Kluyveromyces lactis: one gene and its partners. The protein of the gene in region 3 interacts with the protein of the main gene of each other region in a biochemical or structural test. Links are inferred from orthologs where the notes say so. Each region holds a gene or a part of one and is shown on either strand. Other genes may lie near its edges.

Region 1 (3,616 bases), on a different chromosome or scaffold from region 3:
AAATTGAAAATTAAATTAAAACCTCCTACTGTGAGCGCTTCTATCGAGACAAAAGCTTATACTACTAGAATGGGCGCCATTTGGAAGGAAGCGGAAGCTAAGAAGTTTTTACTTGATGAGTTAGCAAGCATTTTTAATTCCACTTCGTTTGACACTGATGCAGTGAAGGATATAAATGATGGCGATGATGATGACGACGTGGCGCCAACATCATTCTTCATCAATAACATTCCAATTAATTTGTTAAGGTTTGCTATTCTTTCTCAAGAGTCATCCGTTATGGCTGCTATTCCCGAAGAAATTTGGTCAGATCATTCTGTGTTTGAATTCGATGTACTACCACCACAACCACATGATAGAGAAAGTGAGTATGTAGTAGAAACAATCGAAGGACTAATTGATAGTAAACATCTAGAAATATCCCAAATGAACAGGTTCGCTGATGAGGAGCTTTTACAACACATTAACCAGTTATCAATACAAGAATACTTGGAGCAGCAGCAACAACAGCAACAACCAAATGAAGAAATCGAATAGCACAACAACTTGAACTGATCTGCCGTCATGTATATTTAAACCAACTTAAAAAAACAGATATTATTAATTATTTATACATAATGTCCGTTATAAAAGTATCCAAATTAAAAGTCTATGCGGTAACAAACGTCTCATATAAGTTTGATTTTCCTAAAATTGTGATTTGTCCAAATGTTTCCTTCTGTTTCAATGATATACAGTCTGCGGTGGCAAGAGAAAGTAACTCAAAGAATGCTTTACTGGCCATTCTTTTTGTTATTACCGCGTTATCCTGGTACTTCGAAGTAAGGATTTTATCAAAAGTAGCTTCACCGGAGCTCATTTCATCTCTCAGTAGAGTTGCCATTTCCACTGTAGATTTAGACACGATTTCACCGGTAGCAAGCTCTACTTTTTGACTTTTTTCCTTTTCAATTGACCCACGAGAGGCAAATTCGTCTGATTGAATGGCTTGGTAATCATTTTCTTCCATGGATGTATCAGCTGCAAGAACTGGAGGTTCATCATCAGCAAACACTGGTCCTTCTGATTCTGCATCAAAGCCCATTTGTTGGTGATCGAATGGATCAGAATTGTGTACCAAACTTCCATCGATACCCAAAGAGATATCTATATCAACATCGGACCCATCAGATTGGCTGGATTGTGACAGAGCTCTAGGCTTCTTTGAAGCTTTATGGTTGAAGAAATTAGATATAATCTTTTGAGGAAGGAAGTCCAGGTCAGAGTATAATTCATCGATGGCTCTTTTTTTCTTTGATATAGCGGACGAAGTCTCATCAGAAACGATAAGAATTGAGTCCGATGGTCCTCCTTTCACTTCAGAATCGTTTAATTCGGCATCAGCATCTATGAGAACCTTCTTAACATTGATAAAGGCTTTATTCCTTGGTGCCCTCTTCTTTACTGCTCTAGGTGGTATGTATGCCTCTGCTTGCTCTTGATGCTCTGGTTCTGTGTCCTTTGGCAGCCCTAGATCAAAGTCTAAGAGTGTATCATCATGCAATGAGTGAGTAATATCAGCCCTTCTCCCGATCTCTACAGACATGTCGCTACCATGGCTAGACTGATTACCAGAAATATTCTGATCATCATCGTTTAATCCCAAATCCCAATCATCGTTAAGTGGTAGCAATTCATCATCATCGTCATTGTCATTTCTAATAGTCAAATCACCTTCATTTTCTCCATCATCCGCGTTTACTTCACTAGCAGTAACACGAGTCCCTTCACCCCATGATTTAGTGTTATTGCTTTGATTAGAATCACCAAGGTCAAAATCTAATTTCAAATGAGATGAATCGTGATGTTCAATAGCATTCAAGTCATCATCTTCATCTGCCAGGAATCGCCTTCCAACTTCTAAGGACATATCCCATGCTTGTTGTTGTGCTGCAATGGCGGATGTTACAGGTGCTGCTCCTTGCACTTGTCTTTCCATTGATCGTTCAGCGATCAAAAAACCTTCTGGCACTTGGATATCTTTCAAGAAATCCAAACTGGGCATCTCCAAGACGTCAAGTTCTGTAACCGCATCTTGCAATAAAAGCTGATCTAACTTTGCCACTGTATCTAGCTGAATTGTGACGCTCTTGTTCAGCGATCCCTTGAAGATAGATTTCACTTTACTCAGTAAGTCTGTGATATCAGTAAGCAGATAGGATGCTTTTTGAGAATAAACTTTTACAACACCATGTAGTAACTCACCGGAAGCACGTAATGTGATAGGTTCCACAGATTCATCATCTAGATTAACACCTGCAGCTTTGGCAATCTCTTCAACAGATTCCACGATATTAGTCTTTGCAATGTTCCGATTGATGCTACTCAAATTGGAAGCCAGCCAGATCTGAGCCAACGGCCCATTGCTTGTATTTAATCTCACCTGAGTATGTGAATTGCTATTTGGTGGCATATACGTTGTTTATTTTTGGATTAGGTGATATAAGGCTCGTGGTTCCTGTTGCAAATGGTATAGCAAATGGATATAAACTTAAGATCGAGATTAGAACTTGATCTTATAAGGAATGGTTAGCAAAATAAAAATGAAATAAAATAGCACTGTGTCTTTTTTCAGAGGTCACGACATTAAAATTCCATAGGTAATATATATATTTGATAAAATTATTGGTAAAGGTGCAATCAATATGATGGAATAGACATACTTCTCATCCAGTGTTTATCAATGATATTTGTTAAAGGATTGCTGGTTATAGATCTCATCACGGAAACGCGTTATGGAGAAAAATCGCGAAAATATTTTTGGGGGAAAACAATGTCTTTTTCTGGGACCTCAAAAGATTTCCCGCCGGAAAAATTTCGATTTCGTGGTATAAAATCCGGGTAACAAGTGAGGACCTTATACCCATTTATTACCCTGCCTTTCTAACTCTTGTTGATGCCAAAACCAGATCATCTCTCTCAGTATGCGCAGTCAGTTTAATCGGTATATATGAATATGAATCTTAAAACTAGACATCAGTTACACACAAATCGTTTCTGCTAAAAAATATAAAATCTAAGTCTTTCAATTCGGTTCTTAATTGATAATATTTTTAACGGGGATAGACAAATTATAATCGATCCAGTGTTTTCTTTGATATTGTTAGAAAGGAAGGAATAGTATATTGAAGAAAGATTTATGTTTGTTGGTCATTAAAACAAAGACTAGAACCCCCTTTTGAAACGGAATCGAGACATCACTTGTATCAACCTCCATATCATTTAGAATTTTTAGGTTTTATCGTATTTATTTCTTCTGATTTCTTTTAATTCGCTGGGTTTTAATTCGTTGTATATTTTAGTAATAGTCGTTTTAGGTTAATTCTCAATAGTTCCCAGTCTTATTCGTACGTTCACACTACAGTATTGTATGGAAAGAAAGGACAATGACCGGAGCAACAAAAAAGGGTCTTTAGGCTAAATCATGAAATGTATTCGTCGTTGTGTTGTGTAAGCTTGTGCAATGGAATAATAGGAATTAGAATAATGAAAAAAAAGCAGACGAAGGATAATACAAACGCCGAGACAGGTTTACAATCAACCGGGAAAACAATTGCTTCCAAGTAGAGTATCCGTA
Region 2 (3,513 bases), on a different chromosome or scaffold from region 3:
TGTTTGGTCGCTTGGTATTACAGTGTACGCAATTTTATACAATGTATTACCGTTCTGGGGAGAAACTGAGTTTGACACATACAATCTGATCTGTCATCGGCAGTTGAAACCTGACGTTCATAACAGTTCAAATATTTATGGATGGATACATGAATACGTTGTTAACCGTATGCTATCCAAAAATACAGCTTCTAGGCCAACAACATCAAATATTTTGCGTACATTGGAATCTCATTCCAAATCTGAACTATCATCAATGAATAAAATGAAGTTGAAGCTAAATAAATGGAAAAAAAATCTACTCACTAAGAATAAAAATACCGAAATTCTTCCTACACAATCCTTCAAAGAGGATTTTTGTTCGCCTGCCAGTAGTATCAATGCTGCTTCGATCCCTCTTACAGACAAGAAACAACCATTGAATCGATCCCATAGAGCGACAGTTAATTTGGAAAAGTACATTAAATAGGTCAAATTCATAGATTACATAACCTCACGCACTCTCCGGCATTCACAAATAGATAAACCCTTAACTTTGACCTGCTGTACAGGGAACGCAACGGGATTCATGCTGTCCTTTTCTAACCTTGAATTAATGTCTTTTTCGCTAAGGTTTCATTTTGTTTACAATTGAAAACCCTACTATTTACGTTTCGCAAAATGGCATTATTAGGAAAAAAAAGTTTCTGTTTTTGTTTCACTCTGTGCGGTGATAAACCTCAAGATCTGGAGGTTTTAAATAGAATTGATCAAAAAGTCAAAAAGACATTAGCGCCTGTCGTATTCCTGTGATCAGCGCTAGTCATCGACTGGTAAACTGAAAGAAGGCTACTCATTAATTTTACTGATTTTGTCTCAATAGAAACTATTTGCGTAGACTTTTCTTCAGTCCGCTTGTGAGGTTCTAATCACCAGATTTAATTACCGACTTAAAGACCCACCTTTCTCAACATTGAACCGGGCATACCCAGAAGTTGAACTATCAATATACTCCTGAACACTTAACCGTCCCAACAGGCATTTCATTTCTCATATTATTCTGTTTTTCCTTTTTCCTTTTTGCATTCAAAGATCAGAATTCAGGTTTATATTCACCTCCCGCTCTTAACTATAAGGTACCTAGTTGCCTACTCCATTTACGACATTAAAGTATTATTCAACTCAGACTTGAAGCATATCTGCAAAGATCATTCTGCATTGTTTCTCATATATGTTTAATTGTCAGATCGTTCTATCGTAAAGCAATGAATAACTCTTTCGAGAATAAAAAGCCGACACGGCTCTTCAAGCACCTACACTCAATATGGTCCATATCTCTTCGAGGGAAATCTGATAAAGAAGCATATACTCAAAAGAGGTCTGTTACATCGGAATCCAAAAGGCCTATAGCCTTTCAAGGCGAGATATCCTCCACTGATAGAAAAATGGTCAAGTTGGCGGACTTCAAACAACAAACACTGATTGTTAGCGAAAGCGACTCGTCAATATCAATTTGCCAATCGCCATTAAGTCCGATGAATCTGAGAAGAGAGAACTCGCTTTCCCTGATGTCTCCAAATAGAGACACTGAAGAGTCTTCCAATTATGAAAATTCTAATGACGAGTCTGAGATCGAATCGCTTAATACACATGAAAAGTCCGATAAGATGCCCTATGATAATATGATGCTCAACAACAACGAATCACAAAACACGCTTTTATGCGATTATAATCCCAAAATGTCGTCAAAAGCTGTGCGACAGAGGAGTTTCAAAAGACGCGATTTGGCACCCACTATTTTAACCCAAAAAGCCAAGCTCAGACGAACACATTCTATGTTTACCAGTACGAATGAGGTAGAAATCAGAAATACACGTATTCCAATTTATGACTCACGTTTAGAAATTTCAAAACTACCAATTCACTACGAAGAACATAGCAGTGATAATCTACCGAGGATAACAGTGGAGACTTTACTTCAAATTATGAATGATGATTATAGCAAGTTCTATCAAGAAGTCTATATTGTTGACTGCAGGTTTCAGTACGAGTTCCTCGGTGGACACATTAAAGATGCAATTAATATATCGAAGCAAAAGCAATTAGAAGAAGAGTTTATTCATAAAAGACACATCAGATGTTGTGACAGTGAAAGGCCGCCATTAATCGTCTTCCATTGCGAGTTTAGCTCCTATAGAGGTCCTATAATGGCATCACATTTGAGAACCTGTGATAGAATAATAAATCATGACAACTATCCGAAACTTCATTTCCCTGACGTTGTCGTACTAGATGGTGGTTTCAAAACATTTTATGAGAAATACCCAAATAAATGCGAGGGTCATTATGTCTGCATGGATTCAAAAAATCATGAATTAGAATTGAGTGAGTTTAAAAGAGATAGTAAGAAGCTAATGACTCGAGCAAACTCAACTCAAATATTCCAGTTGAAAGACAAAATTGGAACCTGTCCTGTAAGTTTGAGCGATGTAAACAACGATTATAATATCCCACTCCCCAACAAAGTTACTACAGAAGAACATCAACTGACCAATGAACAAAACATCGACTATGATGAAGAGGCATCATATTTCAATTTCAGCATAAACGTGCCGCCCAAATTGTGCCTAGACAGATATGGCGAAGGTTCTCCCAACAATGGATTAAATTCATCAAAGAGTAGCAGCCTAAGTACAAGTAGCAGGCTATTATTCTCAGATGAAATAGGGACTGAGTTTAAACCAAAATTTCTGGAGCACGAAGAGTCTGATTTAGATTCAGATGGATATAGTTTCCAGTTTGGTGATGACGATACTGACGATAGAATGAGTAACATCACTGGGAAGAAACGATTATTCCCGGAATTAGTCAATGCGAATAAATAAACAAGGTACAACGATAAAATAAGAATTGAATTGAAATCCATAATCTCATCATTTCATTATGTGCATGCTTAATATGGTATATATACATAAATAACAACAAATTCTTTCTCTCTTCAGGTATTCGGTCTTTACGTCACGAATGTTCCATCGTAGGGAAAACTTTAATGTCACCTCTTCCTTCGCTCATGTTCAGATCTGCGCTCCATCTCGAAGGGGGCCATACTATTTTGACTGCTTTACCTAATGCTAAGCCAGTACTGATGGGGCCGAAATTGTTAGAGTCAACTGAATGGTATACATTATCACCTTCGACCCATAGATGATTTCTGGGAATCAGACAGGTATCCTTAGGATAAGGTGATCTAGTTTTCACCTGATCAAACTGTACGCCTTTAACACGTTTACAGTATACTTTCTTTGGATTCGAAGGGGATTTGAATAGTACTACATCATTTTCTTTCCAATTCTTGGCTTGTTTGAGATTAAACTTCCAAAGAAGAACCCAATCGGATTCATTATTGAACGAATCAGTTGGATTAAGCGTAGGTCGCATCGAGGAGCCTTCAATCTTAGCTACATAGCATACATGTTCTGTGAAGGTGAGTATAACTGGAATCCACGAAACTGTAATAACCGCAGATCGCAGTGC
Region 3 (4,064 bases):
AATTCATCTTTTCAAAAGAATTATTGAACCTCCTTCGGTTTTTCTCTATCCCCTCTTCCCTTCTATGTATTATTTTCATGAACTGTGTTGTGTTTCGGCTATAAAATAGGAGAGCGTATTACTATCCACCGTAAAGTTCAACGTTCATTGTGTATAGGACTATTTCTTTTGGGTTTTTTGGGTATTATCAGTACAGAATAGTGACCTTGTTTGCAATAAAAAAACCTTGGAAGGAACAAGATATTCGAATTTTGATATCTTCACATCTTTCTAACTTGTATACATTTGTTGTTACTTTTAAGATACAGTTTTTCTGGTGAGGGATCATGTTAAGATTCAATTATTAATTTATGTTAAATTAAACAAATTTATTCTGGCAGCCCCAGGCTTATTTCATCACAGATTCAAAATTAACTAATGAAACAATGAAATCTGACAGGTGAAGATATTTTGATACAGAATGGATGGCAGTTTTAGAAGTTGCAATCGGGGGAACACAACGATCAGGAATAGCTGGTATCATTTGGTATAAATCGTTGGATGCAGGAATGCGAAAAAAATACATAAAGGCGCTTGATGGACGTAGCCATACATGCTGGCTTGTACAACCAGATGAAGACATTCAAATGCAAATTGCATATTATCACAATGACATCCCTACCTAATGTATTGTTAGAACACTTGCTTTATCTCTCAAGCCCTCCTTCATTAGTTCTAGTTTCTCGAATATATCAATAGAAGGGAATCCTGGTACACATCCATCTATTAGAACACTCGAAAGCAGTAACGTTATCGTTTTACGATCAGATGAAATAAATGTTAAGAATTTACCTCCATGTGACAATGCAAATTTATTGTGATCCTTGAAGTTGAATTGGAAAGTACCATCACTCAACTCAAACATAACAAACTGTTTATAACGGGTGTATCTTCTCAAGAACACATCATCTTTATGATAAGTTTCACGGACCAGCGTAGAAATTCTACTCAAATTGGAGTTCATGTAATTTGAGAAAAAATCGACCACTTCAAGGTGTCTTGTTAATTCAATAGGTTTAGATTCTAATTTATAATGGCTTGCAACCCATCCTTCCTTAGTATCATAGTTAATATACCAGAATTCTTCCGCATCTGCTAGCTTTAATACTGTGGTTCCGTTGTTGAATAACACCCCGATATCGTCAGTTGATAACTGGTATGCAAATCCATGTTTGTTCGAATAGTCTACCCATTTTGTGACCACGATTGGGTCTTGTACGGTGGAGTCTGGAGAAGGATAGTTTGATTGCCTCTTATCTATTTCGGCACTCTTGATCCCTCGTAGTGTCATGTGGCATTCACTTGCAAGTATTTTCAGCGACATTTCGGATTTAATCATGTTAGTTGAAGTTGCCACCAACTCAGGCTTGAAGAATAGATTCTCTCCGGCTTTTTTCAGTCGATTTTGATATGCCATCTCGTTAAATTTTCTGTGGCCATCAAGATCGATAACTTCTTTATATTTATTTTTGGTTCCGCCTGGTGACAAGGATTGTGGTAAAACAGCTCTGTTTCTTTCTTCTTCTATTTCTGTTCTCACTAACTCAATTGGATTCTTACTACCATCATAAGAATGAGTTTGTGAGCTCTTAAGTAACCCTGAGTTTAGCATACATTGTTTCAAGTTAATCAATGACTCGCTGAAACTGAGGTGATCGAAATTTGGAATCTCCTTGGTTATTGTAGACGGTAATCTTGAAGGGAAAGTATTTCTGAACCATACGTTATCAGTTATTTCATATAACGATGGTCTGGCGGCTGGATTTAACTGTAAGAGATGTGAAATCAAGTTTTTAGCATCTGAGGATACCGGTTTGTCAGCTGGGAAAATGAAATCTCTACACTTAATTCTTTCATAGATTGTTTCAACTTCTTTTGCCTGGAATGGTGGTTTACCGAATAGCAATGCATAGAGCATCACACCAATTGACCAAATATCAACCTCATATGAGTGACCAGTGTGCTTTCCGGTGAGCACTTCTGGAGCAATATAGTTAGGTGTACCACAAATGGTATATTTACGCTCTTTATCATTTGCCAAGACAGCAGCAAGACCGAAATCACCGATTTTTAAGTTGTACTCTTTATCGAAGAAAATATTTCCAAGTTTCAAGTCTCTATGAATAACTCTTCTACTGTGCATATATCTTATGGCACCAATGATTTGGATCATACAGAATCTTACTTCAGGTTCCGTCAAATGTTTTCTTTGTCTTAATAATTCCATAACAGATCCGTTTGGACAGATCTCTAATAAGATATAAACGTTAGTATCATCTTCGAAACAGTCTGTAAATTGAACGATATTGGGATGTTTCATAGATTTGTGGATCTGAATTTCTGATAGTAATTTCCTTCTTGTCTTTTCAGATTTGATAGACAGTTTAGCAACTGTCTTCGCAGCAAATACTTTTCCCTTGTCATCCTTCATTTGGAAACAACGAGCAAATCCTCCCTCACCTAAGAAATGTCCTCTGTGGTAGTCCCGTCCTCTAGTCTTGATCAACGATGGAGGTGTTTTGCATAAAGAAGAGAGTTTTTCCTTCTTCTTTTTCTGAGGCGGCTGCTGACGATTGATATTATTATTATTATTGTTATTATTATTATTGGTGGGTTTACCATTCGTAGTAAGTCTATCTATATGATGCAGCTCAGTAACAACCCTTTTAGCCTTGATCGGTGTATGAATATTATTCGATCGAGCATTTAGCTGTTTATCGTTGATGATTTGAAGTGGTGGTGCAGACATGATGTCTGATTATTTTGTAGCTCTTTGATGGAATGATACTCCTGCGAGCTTTTGTTATGTCAAACACCCTTGTCGAACCAGTATACAAGAAATATCACTGCAATGTGTGATAAATAGTCTACACTTATCAACCTCCAGTAACTAATTTCTTTCTTGCGTGTATTTCCTTGGCCCGTCCAATAAATACCTTGCAATTAACGGTTTTGTGGCTCTCGATCAAAAAAAATGAATCTACGACGTCAAAGCACTGGCACCGTTGAAAAACTGAAGCGATTTAGGTTAACAACAGCAGAATGAGTACAACAACCAAGATTCTGACTGTTAAATGATGTTTCCGCTCACTGTAAGTCTTCCTTTCACCTGCAAGTTTGTAAACTAATATCAGTGATGTAAGTATTCCTAAGAATAATCGAACTTTCAACTGAATTATGGCAGTCGCAGTAAAAAAATGCTTCTAATATCAAAAGAACCCTTGTTATAAGCACTTGATACGTCTCAGGTAAGATGGTAACAATTAAAGGACTGAGTTCCCGCCCTCTCTTATGCCAAGTATGCTCTTAGGAAGTATGTAAAGAAAGACTGTATAATATTAGAATCTGACTTTTTTCCCTTCCAATATAATAGTATATTATACCAAACCCAGTACTTTTAAGCTGATATAAAAGCCAAACCAGTATACAAGGATACCCAAATAGTAATATCAATGACAATGAGCTACCGCAATTTACTGTAACTTCAAATTTATTCAAACCGACAAATTACTAGTTTTGTCAACTTTGAAAACACAAAACCGACTATTTACATTATTGAATTTTTTTCGACATTAACCAAATCTGTACAACGGAAATGAACAAAATGTAAACAATAACAAAACACTCAATGCGGTAAGTGCCAAAAACCCTTATTTCTTTAAAAGGACATTTTCCTAAGTAAGTATCTAATGAAAAAGCAAATAATTACCTTACCCGAATATTAGATCACGTGAGACTTTTTTTTTTTTGGGGGCAATTTTGAAAATTTACGGTTGTTCTATTTTCATTTTCACTTCTGCCCTTTACAGGTTAATATCTGTTGAATGTCTTGGATTCTTGAAAAATCAAATCTTCAAGCATTCGGTAGAAAAAGCTGATCTATTTTTTAGTAAGAGAAGAGGCACTGTCCTGATCAGCGCCTAAAGAAAACTAATAAAAAAGAAACATCCTAAACGGTCGAGAGAGTTCTATATTACTGGTGTCGGTAATATATCTACTTTAGAATTTCCTTTGTTTTATATTTA

What was found.
Region 1: of the proteins of CDC5 (region 3) and MCD1, one has a biochemical effect on the other in vitro, tested with the Saccharomyces cerevisiae proteins (3 studies listed by BioGRID). The link is inferred for Kluyveromyces lactis from reciprocal best matches to the Saccharomyces cerevisiae genes CDC5 and MCD1.
Region 2: of the proteins of CDC5 (region 3) and MIH1, one has a biochemical effect on the other in vitro, tested with the Saccharomyces cerevisiae proteins (2 studies listed by BioGRID). The link is inferred for Kluyveromyces lactis from reciprocal best matches to the Saccharomyces cerevisiae genes CDC5 and MIH1.

What each region holds. Positions count from the first base shown.
Region 1 is NC_006042.1:1,367,030-1,370,645, reverse strand, and holds MCD1 (kleisin alpha), read right to left. Parts: upstream 2,453-3,616; coding exon 650-2,452; downstream 1-649. Other genes in the region: RQC1 (Rqc1p), read left to right, coding at 1-537. UniProt on the Saccharomyces cerevisiae protein: Cleavable component of the cohesin complex involved in chromosome cohesion during cell cycle. The cohesin complex is required for the cohesion of sister chromatids after DNA replication.
Region 2 is NC_006042.1:2,490,261-2,493,773, forward strand, and holds MIH1 (putative tyrosine protein phosphatase MIH1), read left to right. Parts: upstream 1-1,244; coding exon 1,245-2,864; downstream 2,865-3,513. Other genes in the region: serine/threonine protein kinase ELM1, read left to right, coding at 1-469; IMP2 (endopeptidase catalytic subunit), read right to left, coding at 2,998-3,513.
Region 3 is NC_006039.1:539,133-543,196, reverse strand, and holds CDC5 (polo kinase CDC5), read right to left. Parts: upstream 2,789-4,064; coding exon 662-2,788; downstream 1-661. UniProt on the Saccharomyces cerevisiae protein: Protein kinase required for the cell cycle where it is involved in mitotic exit. A component of the fear (CDC14 early anaphase release) network which promotes CDC14 release from the nucleolus during early anaphase. Phosphorylates SCC1/MCD1 and NET1.